5 linked regions of the Coturnix japonica genome follow. The protein of the gene in region 5 purifies or fractionates together with the protein of the main gene of each other region. This does not show direct contact. Links are inferred from orthologs where the notes say so. Each region holds a gene or a part of one and is shown on either strand. Other genes may lie near its edges.

Region 1 (4,065 bases), on a different chromosome or scaffold from region 5:
AACCGGTGATGGCTGTTTTGAAGTAACCCGGCTCGATGATGCTCACCTTCACCCCGAAGTGCCTCATCTCAAGCCTGGAAGGCAGCGATGCAATGGGATGGGAGCAGCAAAGGGGGGTGGGCTGAGTGGGGACGGCCTCGCTATGGGGCACAGCAGGGAAACCCAACCACAGAGGGCACCACGAGCAGCCCAGCATGAGGCTGGGATGGTGCACGAGCAAACACTGACCGCAGTGGGACGGGATGGGGTCAGAGCAAACATTGGAGCCGCTCCATGGGACACACAGCGGGGCAAGGTCCGAGTAGCGGGGTCCGACCAGCCCCATAACGCTGCCAGGCAGAGCAGGGGGGAGCAGGACTCACCGCAGACTGTCGGAAAACGCCTCCACGCCGAACTTGGACGGGCAGTAGCCGCCCCCGAAGATGGACAGCCGGCCCACCACGCTGGCCACGTTGACCACGCGGCCCCTCGCCCTCTTGATCAGCGGCAGGAGGCTGAGAGTCACCTCGATCAGCCCCACCAGGTTGACGTTCAGCACCGCCACGAAGTCTTCCTTCCTCAGCCACTCGTTGGGGGCGGAGGGGACGGCGATGCCGGCGTTGTTCACCAGCCCCCACAGCCCTGCAATAGGGCCGGGATGAGCCGAGACCCCCGCTGGGCGCCCACTCCCCACACCCCGACCCCCTCCTACCTCTGTCCCCCACTCGCTCCCGCACCCACGCGGCGGCGGCGGCGATGCTGTCGCTGGACGTGACGTCCAGCAGGACGGTCTGCAGGCGAGACGAGGCGGCCGCCCGCAGCCTCGCGGCCCCGGCCTCGCTCAGGCAGCCCGCCAGCACCCGCAGCCCCCTCGCGTCCAGCTGCCGTGCCAGCAGGCTGCCAAAGCCCGAATCGCAGCCCGTGATCAGCACGAACTTCTCGTCCAGGCCGCCCACCGTCTGCCGCTCCAGGTTCCAACGCCGCAGCAGCCACAGCCCCAGCAGCGCCAGCAGCCACAGCCACATGGTGGGGCGGCAGCAGGAGGAGCACGACGAGGAGGAGGAACGGGACGTGGAGGCGGCCGGGACTCGCGTGGACACGGCACAAAGCGCAGCCCTGAGCTCTGGCTCCGGCCCGTGCCGACCTTGGACCGGCCCAACTCCTCGGGGCCGGTGTGTGTCAGTGCCAACACATCTGAATACGGGGCCGGGCAGCGGCTCAGCCCGTCCTCCCACGTCCCGTGATTTCAATCCCCATCCGTGGCCCCTCGGCTCGTTGGCAAAGCCGCCCCTCGTTGGCACGGGGCTGAGCTGCCCTCGAACCACCACCCAACTTATGGGGGGTCTCAGGGGCTCCGCTCCCGGGACTCGGCCGCTGTTCAAAGCAGGGACGGGGTCGGTGCCGGTGCTGAGCCCCCCCGGGGGTCCCCGTTAACCCGCTCCGGTTCCCCGACGGCCGGCGCTGTCGGAGCGGTTCAGCTCCGTTCCGGGAGGGGTCGCACTACATCTCCCAGCGACCACTCGGTTTCTTTCGGTCCCGCCGTTTCCCTCCGCTTCCCGTCATGGCGCCGTTCGAACCGGCTGCGTTACCGGAGCTTCTCCCGGTGTTCTACCGACGGCTCTTCCCACACGGCGCTTACGGCCGCTGGCTCGGCTACGGCGGCGGTGAGCGAAGGGACCGGGCGGGGTCGGGACGGCGAATCGGTGGGGTCTACATCCCCCCCAACCCCCCCAATCCCCCCAACCCCCCCAACCCGACCCTCTCCGCATCCCCGCAGTGGAGAAGAACTATTTCCAGCTTCGGGAGTTCTCCTTCACGCTGCGGGACGACGTTTACGTGCGGTTCCAGTCGTTCTGCAGCCCGCAGGAGCTGGAGAAGGAGCTGCAAAGGACCAACCCCTATAAGATCGACATCGGGGCCGTATATTCGCATCGCGTTCGTATCCCCCCCCCACTCCCCTTCTTCCACCCCTAAACCCCCCGGTGGCTGCGGGATGTGACCCCTTGTGCTCCCCGCAGCCCAACCAGCACAACACGGTGCACCTCGGGGCGTTCCAACCCGTGGAGAAGGAGCTGGTGTTTGATATCGATATGACCGACTATGATGATGTCCGGACGTGCTGCAGGTCCCTGGGGGGGTTTGGGATGGGGAGGGGGGGGTTGTAGCCCCATAGGGCCCCGTTAGCCATGGGGGGGGTTGGGGATGGGATGGGGGGGGTTGCAGCCCCATAGAGCCCAGTTGGCCGTGGGGGGGGATGCTTGGCACCCATCTGACCGCTGTGCTCTGCCCACAGCTCGGCTGATATCTGCTCCAAGTGTTGGACTCTGATGACCATCGCTGTCCGTGTGATCGACCGTGCACTCGTGGGTGAGGGATGCAGGGATGTGCATTGAGCACGTATCCAGACCCTGCTGTCCATTGTGATGCCTTCAAATGGGTCTGGGGGAGCACTGCTATGGGGCTGGAGTGCCTGGAGTGCTCCCCCAGCCCCACTGTGCCCCATAGAGGACCTGGGCATGAAGCACCGGCTGTGGGTGTACTCAGGAAGGAGAGGTGTCCACTGCTGGGTCTGTGATGACGCCGTACGTAAATGGTCCCCAGCTCTGAGAGCTGCTGCTGTGGAGTATCTGAGCCTGGTCAAGGTGGGTGTATGGAGGGGGGGGGGGTTGTGTTGCCCACCTGGTTGGGCTGAACAATCTGACATTAACAGGGTGGAGCTGAGACGGTGAAGAAGGTGAATCTGTCAGAGCCTGTGCATCCATTCATCAGGTGGGTGGGGATGGGGATGGGGGTGCTCTGCCTGGTGTTGTGCTGATGGTTGTGGGGTGCTGAGCTGATGGTTGTGGGGTGCTGTGCTGATGGTTATGGGGTGTTGAGCTGATGGTTGTGGGGTGCTGTGCTGATGGTTGTGGGGTGCTGAACTGATGGTTGTGGGGTGCTGAGCTGATGGTTGTGGGGTGCTGAGCTGATGGTTNGGTGCTGAGCTGATGGTTGTGGGGTGCTGAGCTGATGGTTATGGGGTGCTGTGCTGATGGTTGTGGGGTGCTGAGCTGATGGTTGTGGGGTGCTGTGCTGATGGTTATGGGGTGTTGTGCTGATGGTTATGGGGTGTTGTGCTGATGGTTATGGGGTGTTGAGCTGATGGTTATGGGGTGCTGAGCTGATGGTTATGGGGTGTTGAGCTGATGGTTATGGGGTTCTGAGCTTCTCCATCTGCTCCTCAGACGCTCAGTGAACGTGGTGGAGAAATACTTCGAGGCGTATGCACTGCAGGGCCAGGACATCCTGGGCAGCCCCGAGCGCTGGGACAAAGTGCTTGCTCTGGTTCCAGACGGTATCCTTCTATCCTTCTCTCCTTCTCTCCTTCTCTCCTTCTCTCCTTCTATCCTTCCATCTGCTGGGCTCAGGGGGGGGTTGTGTTGGCTGTGATGGCCCTTAACAGCCCCGCAGAGCACCGGGAGCTGCTGCACACTGAGTTCCCCAAGAAACGTGACTCGGGGCAGCGCTGGGAGCTGCTCAAGGGCCGCATGGAGAGGACGCGGGTGAGTGGCTATGGGGCAGCTATGGGGCAGCTATGGGGCCGTGCTGCCCCTTGACTACCTGTACCCACAGCGGGCTGCGGGCAGCGGGAAGGGCACGGCGTGTTATGCAGACTGGGAGATCATGCTGCAGTATTGCTTCCCACGGCTCGACATCAACGTCAGCAAAGGCATCGGGCACCTCCTGAAGAGCCCCTTTAGTGTCCACCCCAAAACAGGTGGGTACCCTAAAACAGGGGGGTACCCCAAAGCAGGCGGGTACCCCAAAATGGGGGGGGTGCAGCTGGTTGTGGGGTCAGCACCCTGCTATGGGCACCCCATGCAGCACCTCTCTTCACCTTCCCCTATCTCTGTCCCTTGTAGGTCGCATCTCGGTGCCGCTGGACCTGCAGAGGTTGGATGAGTTCGACCCATTCTCAGTGCCCACCATCAGGTCGGTACATGGGGTCGGTGTGGGGGGAGCCCTGGTTGTGGGTAGCCCCTATTATGAGCAGCCCCCCCCCACCATGTCCTGCATTGTCCTTCCATGCAGCTCGCTGTGCCAGGA
Region 2 (4,175 bases), on a different chromosome or scaffold from region 5:
GTATCAGAAAAGCAAGTTTTCTTCTCCATTTACTTCCATTCTCCTAACAAATTCCACACACAGACCCAGCTGAGCTGGGACAGGCAGGATTCCCTTCCTTAACCAGGCTTCCACCTGCACAGCAGAGGACTTTCAAAGACCTTGTTGAAATGAACATCAGTTTCAGCACACGGCATTACTGCCAAAAGTATTTTCCAGAGAATTTTGCAAAAAGTTAACAGGAATCACACTTGTTCCAAGATTAACGTTGCAAATTTGTCCTGGTCAAGGACTTCAATGACGTTTAATAGATTTGTAACTCAAAGTACTCCTCCTCCCTCTCTCACTGCCCCCAAGAAAACCCTCTCCTTACCAATATCCCTTAACTTGACTTTGGTTTGCTGTCCTTGGATTTTACTTTGTTCTCTAGCTTACTTTTCATAAAGATGACTTAGAATATGTCCTTAGTTAAACTGGGACTGTGTTCTTAGTGCAGGGAAGGCCTTGATTAGTGCGCAAGCAGGAATACGCTCAGTTTTTTGTTTCAATTCATGGTACATGACTATAAAGTAAAAGCCAATAAAAAGCCATATTCTGCCTTCCTTAAAGGACAATTTCTGACATGTATAGCATAAGAATAATTAGCAATGTAAAAGAATTGTGACCGTGCTCATCTCAGGCCAGTAGTCATTATCTAAACATCCCTATTAATCTCAGTGTGAGGCCTAAGGGATGTAGCTTCCAATGGACAATGAAACCTCTGTTAGTTGCTCAGGACATGGTTGGGACTATCCATTAATATTAACTGCATCTCTCTTTCAGATTTAATCCCCAAAAGGAATATGGCTAAGAGACACTTCTTAGCTTTTCAGTTTAAAAGAACAGACTTAACAAAATTTACCAATGCAGTTAATGCTATCTATCTTATTCTTGGTTTTCAAGAGATACTCCAAAAAGAAGTAAGAACAAACTTGGTACCTTATTACCTCCGGAAAGGGATGGCACATTTCACTGCACCTCACAGCAGAATGCTAAGGAGAAGTACAGAGAGGATGGACAGAAATGGCAAAGAAGGAAATGGGAAAGTTAACATCTCAGCTATATAACACTTGATATTGACTGCTTGCAAATGTGTATCAAGTTGAATGTCCGTTCACTTTACAGTGAGAGCAAACAAGTTTCATTTTACACTTACATCCAAGTTTATGTCTCCAAGAAAGCATCCTTTGAGAATTTTGACCCATACTGAGATAAGAGATCAGCATCAGAGGTAGGGCCTGTATGACATTAGGAGCTTATGCTGTAGTTTTGCATAACTTGCAAATAGCTTACAGCTTCAGCCACAACGTTAGCATTATTATCATATAAGGCACCACAGGAGATATTTGATATTAAAGAGCTCACGGAAATCAAAGTCAAGTGTCCATTACAAAAAGAGAGGAAGAAAGCTATGTGTTGAACAAGGTTGCAGTAAAAACTGAGAGTAAGCTGCAAAGAGATGAAAGTACAGCATTTTATTTCCAACTAAGAAACTTCACCCAAGTCCAGCAGCGTGACTGTAAGCATAAATGAACTAGGATGTTTTTCCAGGCTCTTTCCAGAAAAATGGCTCAACCAAAAATGAGGCCACTGATCACATGGCTTCATTCCTTACATTCTGTTGCTTTATCATCCCCAATAAAAACGATTTTGATGGGCACTGGCAAACATGTACAGTTCATGAATGATGGTACACCTGCAACCCAAAGAAAACTGTTAGGATGTAAGTGCAAGTTTTTTTTACCTGTAAATGTATGAGACTGGGCTCTAACAGAAAAACTGACTGCATCTTCTACTGTTTCTACTACCCAAAACAAATTCGGAGCAACCCTTACATGTTTGTGACCTCAAAATATAGAGAATAAATCTGTGCATGTGTACTTAGAGCAGCACGCCTTCCCGAGCTGCCCTGCATGTCAATGTTCCTACCGTTCACCCAGAGGAAGTTAAGCAATATTATGCAGGTGTTCGTAGGCCAGCGGGGCCACACACAGCATGTGCGTGCGGCTGCTCCCACGAGGAGCTCGCACTTTCCTCAATGAATCGCGGTGAATGCAGTTTCCTTTACACAGCTATAGAGGTACCTCAGGTAGACGCCGAGTTTTATTATTATGATGCATCTGAACGGTTACGGCTAAGAGGAACTTAGGACTCCTCGAGAACCGCTCTGGTTCTGTAGATTCAGGTCGGTGGGATTGCATTTAGGGACGCTCAATGCCGGGCATAGCATGGCGTGGCACGGCACGGCATGGCAGGGCATGGCAGCGGGTCCTTGAGAGCCAGGCGCATCCCTGCCACCCCCCGCACGGCCGGGCCGGGGCGATGCCGCTTCGTTGGCTGCAGGCGAAGTCCGCGGAGTGCCCGGGAGCCGCTGCTGCTGAGGGCCCGGGGAGGCTGCCCGGCTGCCGCGGGATGGAACAGGACGGGCCCCCGGCAGCCCCGCTCCTCTTCACCCTTCGGTGGGGCGCCCCGGCCCGGCGCCCGGCCACGCGTTAACTTCCCCCTGCAGGGTCGGGCGCCGTCCCCCTTACCTGTGCTGCAGCCCCACCAGCCCCAGCGTGATCACATGGGGCACGTCCAGCTCGGTGGGCCACACTCCGGAGGCGATGCAGCCGAACACGCCGCACTCTTCGCGGATGCCCAGTTCCTCCAGCTCCATGGCGGCACGTGGCGGCGGGACCCGACCCGGCCCGTCCCGCTCCGCTCCGGCGGATCCTCCCGCGCTCTCCTACGGGCACCGCGCGCAGCCGCCGGTCCCCGCCGGGCGGCCTCCTCATTTACATGCGGGGGGGGCTCCGGCCTCGCTCCCCGCCCGGCCCCCCCTGCGCTCTCCACCCCCCGCCCCGCCGCCGGGACCGCGGGGAGCCGGCATTGGCCGAGGCGGGACGGGGCAGCGTGCGCTCGGGGGGTGGGGATGGAGGGGCGCGGGTCGGCCCCGCCGTGTTGGGCGCCGATTGGAGCGCGGGATCCGCTCCCCGCCTGCCCGCCCCTTCCGCCGGGCCCTTCTTACCCCGCGGCGGGTCGGCCGCGTGCGTTCAGCTCCTCTCCTGTGCTCTAGGTGCCTGTTGCCGCCGCCGTCGCCGCCATGGCCCCCGCAGCATCAGGTAACGCGCGCCGCGACCGCTGGGTGCTGAGGGGGTGGCGGTCGCGGGGAGGAGGGCGTAGGAGCGGGACTCGGAGCCGCACTGTGCTGTTGTGGGGCTGTGCTGTTGTTGTGTGGCTGTGCTCCGCGTTCGGGTGTCTGCGGAAAAGTTTCTGTTGGCCACGTTTCTCGTTCCGTCGCTGATGTTGCTGTCCGTGTCCCGGAGTTGCGGTCACAGCACCGCGGGACGTGCCGCTCAGCTGCGCTTCGGCATCTGGATGCAGCGAGCAAGTTGTGAAGGCTTAAGTGTGCTGACGTACGCAACCAAAACTCTGCATCTAAAACGCTCCTCATTGTGTTTTATTTTTTTTCTTTAGAACTGAAACTTGGTAAAAAAGTTAACGAAGGTAAAACGAAAGAAGTGTACGAGCTGCCTGATATCCCGGGATGCGTTCTGATGCAGTCCAAGGACCAAATAACTGCGGGGAATGCTGCCAGGAAGGACCGGATGGAGGGGAAGGCTGCCATCTCCAACACCACCACCAGCTGCGTGTTCCAGCTGCTGCAGGAAGCAGGTTTGTATTGCAAAGGTAGAATTAATGCCGCCATGCTGCATGTGTTGCCACCCAGCACTGCTGGCTCCGTGCTCTGACTTAGCTTCCCCAAAGGCTCAGATATATTTTGTTCAGGCTTTGTTTCTAGTTCACCTTTCCCTCTGATACCACAGAGCTGGATGGACGGCCCAGTCATTTGGTCCACTAGAGTATCTGACATCTGCTGGCCACATATGTCACTGGTACAGGTTCTCCCCTGGTATGGATGTAGCCCTGGTCCTCCTTTCTGCTGCTCAGTCCCAGCTACTCTAAAAACTGTATCATCCACTATGAAAAGTAATTGATTTTAGTTAATCAGCAAAGTCATTGCTAGTGTGTTCTGTGTGTGAGAAAGAAAGAAGGCCTCTGTGGAACTATACCTACTTCTGTGCAAGTAGCTCTTAAAGCAGAGATCGAGGCCTTCTGCAGACAGCTTGGTGAAGAGGAGCCTGTGATTGGGTCATTTGGTATAACCTCCAGCT
Region 3 (4,161 bases), on a different chromosome or scaffold from region 5:
AAGTAAAACTCAACCATCACATCACACCTTGCCAAAACTTTACATGAAATTCTACTTGCTATCTACCTCCTTCTCTATAATCATTTCTGAGTTGCACAAAGTCAAAAAACCACATGTACCTAACAGTCAAACCTCCTGAATTATAAGCTTAATAAAGCTGAAAAAGAAGTACCGTGAAGCCTGTATTTCCTCTCTCTTGGTAAGGTTTCTGTTCATGTTGGTAATGTGACTGGCTACACTGGAGCAGAAGTATTGTTTAACAGTACCCTAATCCTGTTTAGCTGCCCATCAGGGTACAGAGGTCCTCCTGACACATGAGCAGCCAGGTTTAAGAAGCATGACCAGCTTTAAGTTAACTGACGTCGGAAAAGCAGAGTTCAGCAGCGAGGCTCAGAACTCACACGTGCTCCTGGGAGCCCAGCCCAGCCTTGAAAGACTGCTTAGGAAAAAAACAGGTTGTTACAACATTGGATCTTTGGCCATTAGTTCCGTCTGTACCATGAAACTCACACTGTTCAGAGCATTTGGCATCCAGCTGCTTGTGTCAGCTGCTGTGCCACGTTCTCAGTTCCCAGGTCTTTCGTGTGAACAGGTTCTCCCAAAGCACACACCTTCTACAGCACCAGGAATGAAAGGGTGAGGTGCTGTGGGTATCCAGCAATGCTTTTACTCCATCCTGCCCTGACATGAGTACCGTCAGCGCTTGGACATCTCTATTACGCACTCAAGTGCAGCAAAAAATAGCTATAATTGTCAGGCACTCCTTACTTTGAGTACAAAGCAGCTTTGTATTTTAGAGCTTCAGGAAAATGGTCTCCTGTATGAGTCAGCTGCCTTCTAAAAAGCATGATGTGATTTCAGTAGCTTCCCCTTACAGTAAGGCCGACACCTTGCGATGTAACCAAGCAGTCTGACCTCCCTCTCTGCTCTGTGTATAGATAGACATGCATGGATGCATACACAGCCACCTACAGATGGTGATGTTACATGCAGACAAAATAGAGGAGAGGAAAATGCCTCAGGAGAGTTAGAGATCCAGGCTCATAAACTACCTCCATTTCTTATGTGACTGACCCTAAACCCCATTAAAGACCCCCAGCTTTTAAAGCACTTTCTCCCCACACCAGCACCTTGCTATTACCAGCAAGGGATGTGTTTAATGCATGGTAATGTCATGCCCCTTGCAGGCAGCGCTTAGTAAAGCAGGCTAGGGAAGCTTTAATCCCTTTGTGTCATGTGTGTGTCTTATGATAAGGATCTATCAAGCAAGGCTATCAATAAACCCAACGGAACGTCATTTTGCCTCTATCCTGAATATCACGACAGGGCGCCATATCACGACAGCAGTGTGGCTTTTACGACAGTGTCGCAACTCCTGCCCCTCCCGCTGGCTGCCGCGCTTGACGGCGGCGGCGCTGTCATGGCGTCTCCCTTCAGCGGGGTGCTGCAGCTGACCGACCTGGATGATTACATCGGACCCTCGCAGGTGGGTGTCCAGGGGGGCAAGAACCGCAGGGCCCGGCCTAGGAGAGCCATACTGGAAGGGAAACAGGGAGTAGGGGGGGGGAGGTGAGGAGACAGCACTGTGCGAGTCTAGCTGTGCAGATAGGGCAGTAAAAATGACATAAAATGCTAAAAAAGCCCTTGGGGCTCCATGGTAGAGCAGCACAAAAATCAGGCAACAGCTGTGCTGAGCCTGTCAGAGCCTTTCCGACATGACATGGAACCCCATTGGCAATAGCCGCCCGCTGGCTGTAGTGACCACGCCTCCATCCGTTCCAATTTGCAATGAGGGAATGCGAGATCGTCTGTGAGATCTAAGAGGGGATCAAGGCTCTGTGCTTGTCAAGGCTCCTTTTAACGCAGCTCTGTGATTCGGAAGGGACACAGTCTCCTCTGGCTTTGGTGTGATGCTGAAAAGGTGCTCGTTCTGTAAGAAAGGGGTAAGGTTCTAAGGACCATTTTCCCTTGGTGGATGTAGACACAGTCAGTAGATCTGGCATCATTTAAAGCAGAGTAATAGACATTCGCTCTATTGGGTTTGACCGTTCGAGTCTTGTCTCTTCACTTCTGAGCCTTATTTCTCTTTTAGGAATGTATCAAACCTGTAAAGGTGGAAAAAAAGCCTGGGAAAGCAGCAGCTAAGATCAGAATTGAAGCTGATGGGAGCTATGTTCAGATCACTCAGGTATGCCTGACCTTTCTTTATTGTTGTGTAAGATATCCAGACAATGCTGATGGTTAGTTATGTATTTAAATAAGGTGCCGCTATTTAAGGACCAGGATCTGGGAATGCTGATGACAACAGCAAAATATATTACAAAATCCTTTTTTCCTCACCTTTATTCTTCCTTGTCTGCTCTTGATAAGCCAGGAGGGTAAAGAGGACAATATCCTTATTACTAAACATAGTAAAGATGAGAAACTGCCACCCTACTCAATTCTGTGTTGTGACCAAAACTGAGTCTTATCTGTTTCTTCCCAGGATGGAGAAGCACAGAAACTGGAGAAGGCTAAAATTACTCTGAATGACTGTTTAGCTTGTAGTGGCTGCATTACATCAGCAGAGAGTGTTTTAATCACTCAGCAGAGCCATGAGGAGTTCTCCAAAACTCTAGCTTTTAACAAGGTAAGTGATGAGACAGGGGCGGGTCAGCTGCAGAGTTAGTAGATGTGAGTATTAGTACTGTCTGATCAGCTTTCTTTTGTTGCTGTTATTATTTTTAAAGGCTGCAGCTCCCAATGAACAGAAGCTGGTGGTGGTTTCTGTTTCACCACAATCCAGGGCTTCACTGGCTGCAAAATGTAAAATGAGCATTCTGGAAACAGCAAAGAAGTTGACTGCATTCTTAAAGAGTCAAGGCAAGTGCTGCATTGCGTCCTACCCATGACAGAGGGGACTGCTGGGCTATCCATCAGGCACAGCTTTTATGAGCACCTAAAGGTGATATGAATTAAGAAGTACAAACTTCAGTCACAAAATAAACCTGGAGTAATGGAGGAAAGGAGCTTTAAATTATCCGCATTCCTCCTATGACTTCTGCTCTTGTCCTGCTGTGCTAGAGAAAACAGTTCACTCTCAAATACAGATTGATAGCAGTAAATATGATGTGTAGCTTGCTGCTTGTATCTTCCTTGTGAATTCTAATGTGCATGTTGTACCACTTAGGTGTGCACTATGTATTTGATACAACTTTCTCAAGAAACTTCAGCCTGCTGGAGAGCCAAAAGGAGTTTGTAAAACGCTTCCGAAGGCAATCAGAAGACAAAAAGGCTTTGCCAATGCTAGCTTCTGCCTGTCCAGGTACATTACAAAGTTGGTTACAGAAATAAGATGCCATTCTAATAATACACCTATACAAGAACTCAAAAAGCTAGTCAGAAAAGTTCATATTAATTTGCTTAAAGTATTACTCTTCACAAAGAGAGCTTGGTGTTAATAGTGGTAATGGTCTGTAGAAATACCTACTCGCCTCTATAAATGGAATTGTTACACCTCTTTGCCTTTTGTGCTGAGGCTGAAAATGGTTATGAATGGGTGGTGAGCCTGAGGTTGTGGGCAGAGTGAAGGGGTGCTTGCTATTTATATGTATATATATATATATATATAACTATATATATATATATAGTTATATAGTTATATATAGTTATATAGTTATAGTTACTGATTGCAACTATTTGCTAATTATTCTCTCTTCAGGTTGGATCTGCTATGCAGAGAAAACCCATGGCAGTTTCATCATTCCTTACATCAGCACCACTAAGTCTCCACAGCAGATCATGGGCTCCTTGATAAAGGGCTATTTTGCAGAGCAGCAGGTAAGGTGCATCAAACACAAGCTGATACGTTTTCCTGTACTGTGTACATTAAGGATTGAAGATAATTGTTTTTATCTTGCAAATTGCCAGCAAAGGCATTGTCACTTCTGTGATACCTGTTAAGAAACTTGCAGCTGGGACAGCAGCACTAAGTTCACACTTTGTGGCTTGAAATCTCTATATATTATTCAGGAAGTCTAAGGAATCTGATTTGTCATTATTCTTGTGCTTATATCTCACTCGTCCTGTATGGTATTTTCCTGCTGATCAAGGCTGGTGAATAAGGTAAAATAAACTAACCCAGGACAAAACCTCAGTCAGTGCATACGTGCAGATCATGCC
Region 4 (4,275 bases), on a different chromosome or scaffold from region 5:
TGGATTTAAGTGACATTAGAGGTATGAATGAAGGGTAAGGATGAACCTGTTCACTCAAGACTGCACAAATCCTACCTTAGGAATGTTACACAAGAGTAAGTTTTAAAGCCTTGGATTTCAGAAGGCAGAAGGACAGTGAAAGGCTATGACTCTATTACCAGCCCAAACAAGGTGCAGCTGATCACTTCATGCCATTTTGCCCATGTACAAACCAGTACAAAGCAAAATCCACATTATCAGAGGTCTGATGCAGAAAAAAGATGATGAAGACTTGCACCACTGGGTGGCACTGTTGGACTGCTAGAAACTTAGGCATAGCAGAACAGGCCTGTCAACACCCCCTCTGCCAAGCAACCAGGAACTGAAATCAAGCAACTTCACAGCTATGTTAAGCAGACTTTTCAAAGATTGCTATCTTAGTTGCTTTCATCACCTAGTGTAGCAATTTGTGCAAATTTTTTCTGACCTAATACAATAAAACCCTGCAGAACTGGGTATTTGACTCACAAATTTATCTTTTGGAGAACATCTGGCTTTAGAGAGTAATATTTCATTTCAAATATTTCATTTCAGAAATAGCCACTTCTCAAGAGAGAACACACACTCACTAGTTTTAACTATAAAACAGGACTGCAATGGCAAGGAGTCAGGATGATGCACAACAAAGCTGTTAATAGACATAAGGCACTGACAACCTGTACAACTTCACCCAGAGCCTATTGCAGAAACAGAACGAAAGCACTTGACAAACTACGTGCCTTAGATTTCACATGACAAAATAAATAAACAAATAAAAATGTAAAAATCAATTACTTTAGAAGAAAATAACAAGCAGTGGAGAAAACCTCAGATTCAGTATTTTTGGTTTCTGAGAAATAAGGCTCTCTTTAGATAGCACCATAAAGCCTATTCACATAACCAGCTTACTCAGGTCATTTGGTCAAGTAAGCAACAGCTGAAATATATGGAGCAGTTCATTTAAATTCTCTGTAATCAGATAAATCAATGACTGACAAAACTGGCTGCCTTTTGATTTCTTTCTTGAAAATAAAGAAAGTGACTTTTATCAATACTCCATATGTACAATCAACAGTTTCTATATTATAAGACTAAAAAAACTATATAATGTGGATATTAATTCTGATCCTGAATATCTCTTATCATCACAGTTGAAATCAGCTTTCCAGAAAAGTAAACCTCTACTTGAACTACCTTTCTGTTTAGTAGCCATACAGATACAGCCCTATGCAATCTATAACAATATGTATACACACATACACTTAAACTTAGTAACAAGACCAAAAAGTAATCCAAAAAGTACTTACGACTGACAGTAAGCAAGGCGCAGTATGAAATGAGAAATATGGTCCTTTCTTCTTGCATCATAATCATCTTCAGCCAAAGCCTACAGAAAATGTTATTAGAAATTAGATTAGAAATCCACAGTTTATCCACCACTGCTGTTTCACATCATATCAATACTTATATCTATAACCTCAAACACAGGACTATTAAAGAGGCAGACTGCCCAAAATAAACATGTATTTTTAAAGACAAAGTTTAAGTTAAAGACAAGCTGCCAGAATACAAGCTTTAGGAATAGTAATTTGTGCAGAATTTCTGAACAGTGTACAGAAAATAGAGTGCAAAAGAAATAGCTGCTTGTTTCTATTTATACTTACTCTGTAGGGAAACTTAAGTTTCCGGAGCTCAGCCTCCAGCTTACTTTTGTACGCATCACCACTTTTTACATAGCTCACACCAAGGTTTTCAACTACCTTGAGCACTGAGGAGAAAAAAAAAAAACATAGTTCATATAGTTAGAACACAGTTAGTTGTAGTCCATATAGTCACAATATGCAGGTAGTGAAGGGATGAAGGGAAATGACTTTAAACTGGAAGAGGGTAGATTCAGACTAGATATTAGGAGGAAATTCTTTACTGTGAAGATGGTGAGACACAGGAACGGGTTGCCCAGAGAGGCTGTGGATGCCCCCTCCCTGGAAGCATTCAGTGCTAGGGGCTTTGAGCAACCTGGTCTAGAGGGAAGTGTCCCTTCCTATAGCAGGAGGTTGGAACTAGAGGATCTTAAAGGTCCCTTCCAACCCAAGCCATTCTATAATTCTATGATAACATATTGAAAAGGAAGCTAACTCTATCATGACTTGAAAAAAGGACTAAATAAAGGCCATGCAAACTCCTGTTAGCAGTATCAGGAGTAAAAGGATAAGAATTTAGAAAGACAAAGCATGGCCCAACTCATCCATAGCCCACAGGACCTATCACAGAATCATTCAGGTTGGAAGAGAACACTGAGATCATCTAGTCCAAACACCAACCCATCAACACCACGCCTACTATGTCAGTCCAACCTGACAGCTCGCCCAGCCCTAAAATCCAGGCAGGGAGCAGAGCAGGGAGAAAGATCAGCCCCAGAGCATCCAGCTGCACTGCAGGGACAGAGACCTGCATTCTGTGGCTCTTTGGGGGCACTGCTCCCAGCCATGACCTCAGTGCCTGCACAGAGACATCCAAGAGAGGCATCCAGAGACCCTGAAAAACAAGGCTATAACCCAATACCACATAATAGCGATTTGTATGCACTTCAGTTGAACTGTGAAATCGCTCAGAGCTCACACTACTCACGCCTCAGGCGGTCGACAGCGAAGCTCTCGAACTCGTTCAGAGAGATGGTCTCGGTGGGGGGCTCCTGGTAGAACTGCAGGCTGTGGGGGTACGGCTCCCGCTTGTCCCCCGCCAGCCTCAGGTGCCGCTGCCGCGCTCTGCTGCTGAACTCCATCTGCAGAGCGGACCGAAGAAAACGAAAAGGGCTGAGGGACGGGGCTGAAGGGTCACACAAGATCCCACCAGCCCCAAGCCAACACCAGGACCCGCTCCGGCTTCCCGCGCAGCGGTCGCCCCGCCTGCTTCCTGCTCGCTAATTTCCGCCCCGCTTTTACCCACAAACAACATGTCGGCTGTGGGCTCTCTAGCCGCCAAAGGCACTCTATGGTAGTTCTCTCAGCACCTGCAGCGGGGAGCCTCTATTACCTGACTCAAATCTCACCATGCAATACCTTGTGAGGGGGCTGCCAGCTCCTTCACGCAGAAATCCTTCTCTTGGGAAGTGGAAACAAAGTAGGGGATAGGTATCTCCGTGGGGGAAAACACCACAACTCAGTAGGTGTCATAACCCAAACTTTCCTACTGACTTACCAAATCAAAACCTATACACAGCAATAGTTCTCACAATACCATTTTACTTACTTTTTTCCCTTTCTATTTTCATCATTTCCACAGCAACGTTACCAGCAGACTCTGATTTTAGAAGTGTTTGTTAGCAGAAACGCTGGTGTTCCAACTACCCACCTGACAAATGTTTTACAACATCCATATGGCCAGCTGTCAAACTGTCCCCACAGCCCCAACTAAGCACAGTCCAATCCAGCATACCTCAAACTCCTACTGTTGTGCTACCGAAATAACAGAACAACAAAGCCCTTGTTTTGCAGTAAACATGATTGAATGTTATCTGTTCCCCTGTTGTTATACCAATTAGCAGTGTCCACAGCACTGCTAATTCTTGGGAGCCCAGTTATTTTCTACTTCGTAAAATATCTGCCATTCAAGTTACACTAAGATATTTTTTCTTCTGACTGTGATAAGCAGATACCTTTGTGTTAACTATAAATAAATGGGAAATGTACTGAGCTGGCCTTTAAACTCCTTCATGTTCCAAAGTGAGCAAAGCATGAATCATGAACTGAAGAGAGGCTCAAGGGGCTATTTTAGTCAGAATACATTCTTGGTCTCTCAGTGTTAATATATTAAAGTAGGGAGTAATGATGGTTGCATCCGTTGTGACATTTTAAATCACTCATCAGGGCTTTAGGTTAAAGGATTGTATCCCCACATTGCCCATCCAAAACTCTAGCACACAGGTGGAGGAAATCTAGATACATCTCACTGTCATCCTAAAGTAATTCTGACAGGTTGCCTTCTCCCTGCATGCGTATTCAGTATGCTTAGGCTGCTATGGTAAACACACTTACCAGCTCTATATTCTGTTATATATCTTATTTTCAGTCCCTTAGCATCATCTTTCAGGGTACTTCCCAAGAAATCATACAATGAATCAAAGAATGGCCTGGGTTGAAAGGGACCACAATGATCAACCCCTCTACTATGTGCAGGGTCACCAACCACTAGACCTCGCTACCCAGAGCCACAGTCAGTCGCTGGGCTGCAAGCAAACACTGCTGGCTCATGTCCAGC
Region 5 (4,113 bases):
CTAATCATCTTGTGTTGCTCTATTCCCAGCCGTTGTGCAACTCCACACCCTCGGGGGACACGGGGGGTCAGGAGTTGCCCAGCTGTGCTCTCACTCAAACCCAACATGCCGTACCTGCTGCTGCCCAGCTCAGCTCCCTGCAGGGCTGCTCCGGACAGACAACTTCCAGCACCCTGCAGCCCGCAGGGTCAGCCCTCCTATGAGCCACCTATGAGCCGGAGCAGCTCAGAGCCCCCAGCCTCGGGTTGCAGTGCTGGGGGAAGGAGGGGACACGAGGACAGCGAGCAGCACAGCGCACAGATCCGAGCCCTGCTCTGTGTGCCCAGCAGCATCCTGCAGCACCGCCCGCTCCGTGACAGCCGGGCACCGGTCAGTGGGAAAACCTCTCCCGTGAGAGGCCCACGCCGCGGGGTCCCCGCGCCCGGTGCTTCCTGCTCCTCCCCGTGTGGGTGCAGCGGGCGGGCAGTGACTCACCGTGCCGCCCGCCCGGCGCTTGGCGGGGCCCGTTGGGGAACGATGGGGCGCAACGGGGCGAATTGCAGCAGCGGGAGCGCTGCCCCCAGCCCGGCCGGTCCGAGCGAGCGGTGCTGGGGACGGGCCGGGGACACGAGGGGCTGGCGGGGCACCACGAGCCAATCCCGGCACGGGCACCGCGGCACTACGGGGTCACGCCGGGGATGCGCGGCGGCTCGAACCGGGAGCCCGGCACGGCACGGCACGGTACGGCACGGCACCGACGGGGCGCACGGGGAACGAGCGGGGGAATCCCCGGCACAGCGAAGAGCCGGGACGACCCGGGACCGACCCCAACCGGGCGGCAGGAAGAGAACGGCCGGCGGTGCCGTGCGGACAGCTCCAGCACCGGGCACGCCGCGACCGGACGCCCCGCGCCCTGCGGTGCCGCTCACCTGCTCTCTTGCGGGGGCTCCCCGCTGAGGGCCGCTCCCGGCGCTGCCGCCCCACGCAGCCGCCCATGGCCGGGGCTTCACCGACGGCGGCGGCGGCGCGGGCGGCTCGGCATGTGTCCGGCCGGGCTCCACGCCGCGCTGCACCGCGGGCTCCGGCGTCGTCAAACCGCCCCGCCCGACTCCGACCGCCCGAGCCGCCCCGCCGCCAAAGCCGGCCCTGGGCGCGCCCCGCCCCCCACGTGCGCATGTGACCGCCCCGTCGCGGCCGCGGCCCCGCGGGGAGCGCCGCCCACGTGCGCGCGTCCGTCCTGCCCGCGGCTTTTGTCCCTCCCGCGCCGCCGTACAGCGCCGTGCCGCCCCCACCAATACCGGCCGGGGGGGCGAGGTGAGGAGGGGGCGCCGGGGTCGCGCATGTGCCGTGGGCTCATGCCTCGGGGCTGCGCGTGCGCACGGCGGGAGCGCGGCCGGTGTGTGCCGGGGAACGGGCCGACATGGCGGCGGGAGCGGAGGAGCTCGGTGCTGCCGTGCGGGACTGGGTGAGCGGGCAGCACGACGGGCGCAACGCGGAGCTGGCCGCAGGTACCGGGCGGGGCGGGGCGGGGTGGGGTGCGGGGCTGCTGGGCCACGTGTCCGCCAGGTCCCACGAGCCGCACGGCGCTGTGACAGACACACGTGGGATGACGGGGGGATGCCGGCATCGTGCGGCCTCCGTGACCTGTATGGAGTCACGGCTGGAAGCGTTACGGTACAGCACGTAGCGCTGAGGGAAGGACAGGGTTTATTCTGAGCTCGGCGCCTTCTGTGTGACTGTGGGAAGAAACACGTTGAACGAGCTTCCTTTGTGCGCTGCATTCAATGTGCCCTGACAGGTGGGAGGCAGCTCGGTGCTGTCGCAGCTGGGGCTGCGTAAGGCAGCGTGTGTCAGAGGGGCTGAGTGTGCTCCTGTTAAAACACCGGGAGACGAATGACGCCGTTAGAGAAATCCATTGTGCCCGCTGGGAATTGCTGCACTCCCATTGTAAGGGAGCTGGGGAAACGTAAGGAGAAGAAAGTGTATGGAAATGATATATGAAATGTGGCACGTGAAAGGGAGATGTCAGGGAAGGCTGATGGGTTTCAAATAAGAATATAACAAAGGGTAACTTGCTCGCTTCTGTTTAGCCTCACACTCTAGGAACACCACCAGGGCAGGGCAGCCCTTCTGGTAAAGGAGCACACTGGGATACAAGGTGCACAGCTGGAGCTGAGCTCGCAGTTCAGCTGTGCTGCGTGCTGCTGCTGCTCTGCATGCTGCTGGGCTCGTGTGGTTCGCTCATGCACAGTGAAATCGAGCAGACCTTTGAGACCAGAGCGAGGGGGTTCATAGCCACAAGAACACGGGTGGCTGATTGTGGCCAGATCGTTACTCTTTAGCTCTTTCCTATTGGTGAGGTCACCGGCACCTTTGTCTAAATATTGCATTCAGGCTTTGAAAGTGTAGAGCAGGTCAGTGCTCACCTGTGGGACTGGTGTGTCTCTGACCTTTTGCATCATGCAGAGGTCAGAGTCATGAGGATGCAGGAGCTGTGCTCTGGAATAAGGTGGTGGGATCCTAGGTGTGAAGGAGCACTCTGCTTTGTGCTCAAGCACAGTGCCTGCTTGCTACCATGCTTCTGTTTTCCTGCGAGAGGCTTTGCCAGCAGCTCAGTCTCACTTGAGGCACCTCTTCTTCAGCCTGTGGCTGTCCATCCTGCGGCCAGCTGGACTCTCCTTTTTCCTCATGGCTCTCCATGCCGTGCCTCCTATCCTCTTTGTGCCAAGTGGGACTGGAAGTGCTGTCTTTGGAGCCAGGGCTGCTTGCTAACAGAAATTGTGGGCATTTCTTCTTCCATCCACAGAAACTACTCTCCAATGAACAGCACAACTTAATACTGGAATTAACTGCTTTAGAAAGAGACAGTAAATGCTGGCAATAGCAGGATACTCCAGCTGAGGCAAGGCCTGGGACAGTCCCAAATGAAACCTCTGGGCTTTCTGATAGGTGGGTGCCCCACCAATTGTGTAGACAAGCCCTCAGCAGGGCAGAGAAATGGTGAATCCTGGGGACCAAAGGCACGCAGAGCTGTTTTAGTGGGTGAGTGTTGCACTGACTGCAGGGGTAGGAGCCCCTCTGCCGTGGCTTTTGAAGGGTGCAGTAGATTCTCACCAAAGCCTCCTAGGGAGTGACTCTTCCCCCAGTTCAGTTGCAGGAGGTAAGTGAAGCAACCTGGCTGGGGTGCCTGAGTCAGAGCTGCAAATACACTCCAGCAGTCCCAGCACTGTGTCGTACAGTAACCACAAAACCATATTTCTCTGTGCTTTCTGCCTTGGAGGGCATTTGTGCAGGTGTTGCTCAGAGTAGAGGTGATGGAAGCTGAGTGCTTGTTAATGTCTGGGCTGTTTGGCTCAACCACTGCCTTGTTAAGAGCTTGGTTTCTTTTGTCCCCTAGGGAGCATCGGGAGAGCTGCTCTCTGCCTCAATAACTGTCTGGGAGTCTCTTTGGTTCACTCTCTTTATCTCTTTTCTCCAGGGGTGAAAGATGGAAGCTGGACTATTCTGCAGCTTGTGGAAGCCCTGGGGTAAGGAAAGCTGTGTACACATTATACATCGTGTAAGGGCTCTGTGGGGGAGATTCCCATAGTAAGGGGCAGTGAGAAGGAAAAGTGTGTGCTGACATCTCGTCCTGTGCAAACTGCCTTCAGCACCACCGGGCACACAGACACACCACAAGTTTGTTGCCTGCTCACTGCACGTTGCCCTCTCAGGGCATGGGAGCCCTCCAGGAAAGGGCAGGAGGGGCCTGTAAATCTCTCCTGGGACTGAGGAAAGGTGTTGCAGCATGCAGCAAGCCGCAGAGCACATTGCAGCTGAGACTCCCTAGCAGGAGCTGTCTGACCACACAGTTGCCCTTCTCCATGTCATGAGTTGACTGCCGCTCAGCTTTTAGTTCTGTCTCTGAGCTGTCACGGGCTGGGATTGGGGAACCTCATTTCTTTCCAGCTTTGTCTCCTTGTAGCAGGCTTTGCCCTTTTTCATCTCTTGTGATCTTGGGAGCCTGACTTTTGGTTGCGGAGCATGGTGCAAGAGCAATTTCCTTGGTCTGACTTGAGAAGAGGCCTCTTACCTTGGCTGTGCTGCTGTGTGAGACCAGGTGCTCGTGAGCAGCATGGTCAGGGGAGCAGGAGT

What was found. The genes of interacting proteins can lie anywhere in the genome.
Region 1: the proteins of MMS19 (region 5) and PRIM1 purify together in Homo sapiens (affinity purification with western blotting; 3 studies listed by BioGRID and IntAct, with this or other methods). This does not show direct contact. The link is inferred for Coturnix japonica from reciprocal best matches to the Homo sapiens genes MMS19 and PRIM1.
Region 2: the proteins of MMS19 (region 5) and PPAT purify together in Homo sapiens (affinity purification with mass spectrometry; 3 studies listed by BioGRID and IntAct, with this or other methods). This does not show direct contact. The link is inferred for Coturnix japonica from reciprocal best matches to the Homo sapiens genes MMS19 and PPAT.
Region 3: the proteins of MMS19 (region 5) and CIAO3 purify together in Homo sapiens (affinity purification with mass spectrometry; 3 studies listed by BioGRID and IntAct, with this or other methods). This does not show direct contact. The link is inferred for Coturnix japonica from reciprocal best matches to the Homo sapiens genes MMS19 and CIAO3.
Region 4: the proteins of MMS19 (region 5) and PRIM2 purify together in Homo sapiens (affinity purification with western blotting; 5 studies listed by BioGRID and IntAct, with this or other methods). This does not show direct contact. The link is inferred for Coturnix japonica from reciprocal best matches to the Homo sapiens genes MMS19 and PRIM2.

What each region holds. Positions count from the first base shown.
Region 1 is NC_029544.1:1,686,240-1,690,304, forward strand, and holds the start of PRIM1 (DNA primase small subunit), read left to right. Parts: upstream 1-1,265; 5' UTR 1,266-1,540; coding exon 1,541-1,643; intron 1,644-1,756; coding exon 1,757-1,914; intron 1,915-1,997; coding exon 1,998-2,104; intron 2,105-2,272; coding exon 2,273-2,346; intron 2,347-2,484; coding exon 2,485-2,621; intron 2,622-2,689; coding exon 2,690-2,748; intron 2,749-3,203; coding exon 3,204-3,313; intron 3,314-3,429; coding exon 3,430-3,521; intron 3,522-3,591; coding exon 3,592-3,736; intron 3,737-3,881; coding exon 3,882-3,951; intron 3,952-4,050; coding exon 4,051-4,065. Other genes in the region: retinol dehydrogenase 16-like, read right to left, coding at 1-74, 363-621, 692-1,004. UniProt on the Homo sapiens protein: Catalytic subunit of the DNA primase complex and component of the DNA polymerase alpha complex (also known as the alpha DNA polymerase-primase complex - primosome/replisome) which play an essential role in the initiation of DNA synthesis.
Region 2 is NC_029519.1:58,388,138-58,392,312, reverse strand, and holds the start of PPAT (amidophosphoribosyltransferase), read right to left. Parts: upstream 2,801-4,175; 5' UTR 2,678-2,800; coding exon 2,550-2,677; intron 958-2,549; exon of another isoform or gene 943-957; coding exon of another isoform or gene 922-942; intron 912-921; exon of another isoform or gene 1-911. Other genes in the region: PAICS (multifunctional protein ADE2), read left to right, coding at 3,104-3,122, 3,478-3,675. UniProt on the Homo sapiens protein: Catalyzes the formation of phosphoribosylamine from phosphoribosylpyrophosphate (PRPP) and glutamine.
Region 3 is NC_029529.1:5,995,599-5,999,759, forward strand, and holds the start of CIAO3 (cytosolic iron-sulfur assembly component 3), read left to right. Parts: upstream 1-1,361; 5' UTR 1,362-1,420; coding exon 1,421-1,486; intron 1,487-1,808; exon of another isoform or gene 1,809-1,910; coding exon of another isoform or gene 1,911-1,943; intron 1,944-2,092; coding exon 2,093-2,188; intron 2,189-2,485; coding exon 2,486-2,629; intron 2,630-2,729; coding exon 2,730-2,862; intron 2,863-3,169; coding exon 3,170-3,304; intron 3,305-3,700; coding exon 3,701-3,819; intron 3,820-4,161.
Region 4 is NC_029518.1:79,161,343-79,165,617, forward strand, and holds the start of PRIM2 (DNA primase large subunit), read right to left. Parts: upstream 2,801-4,275; coding exon 2,647-2,800; intron 1,787-2,646; coding exon 1,683-1,786; intron 1,406-1,682; coding exon 1,326-1,405; intron 1-1,325. UniProt on the Homo sapiens protein: Regulatory subunit of the DNA primase complex and component of the DNA polymerase alpha complex (also known as the alpha DNA polymerase-primase complex) which play an essential role in the initiation of DNA synthesis.
Region 5 is NC_029521.1:19,483,586-19,487,698, forward strand, and holds the start of MMS19 (MMS19 nucleotide excision repair protein homolog), read left to right. Parts: upstream 1-1,313; 5' UTR 1,314-1,399; coding exon 1,400-1,487; intron 1,488-3,457; coding exon 3,458-3,506; intron 3,507-4,113. Other genes in the region: UBTD1 (ubiquitin domain-containing protein 1), read right to left, coding at 909-1,155. UniProt on the Homo sapiens protein: Key component of the cytosolic iron-sulfur protein assembly (CIA) complex, a multiprotein complex that mediates the incorporation of iron-sulfur cluster into apoproteins specifically involved in DNA metabolism and genomic integrity.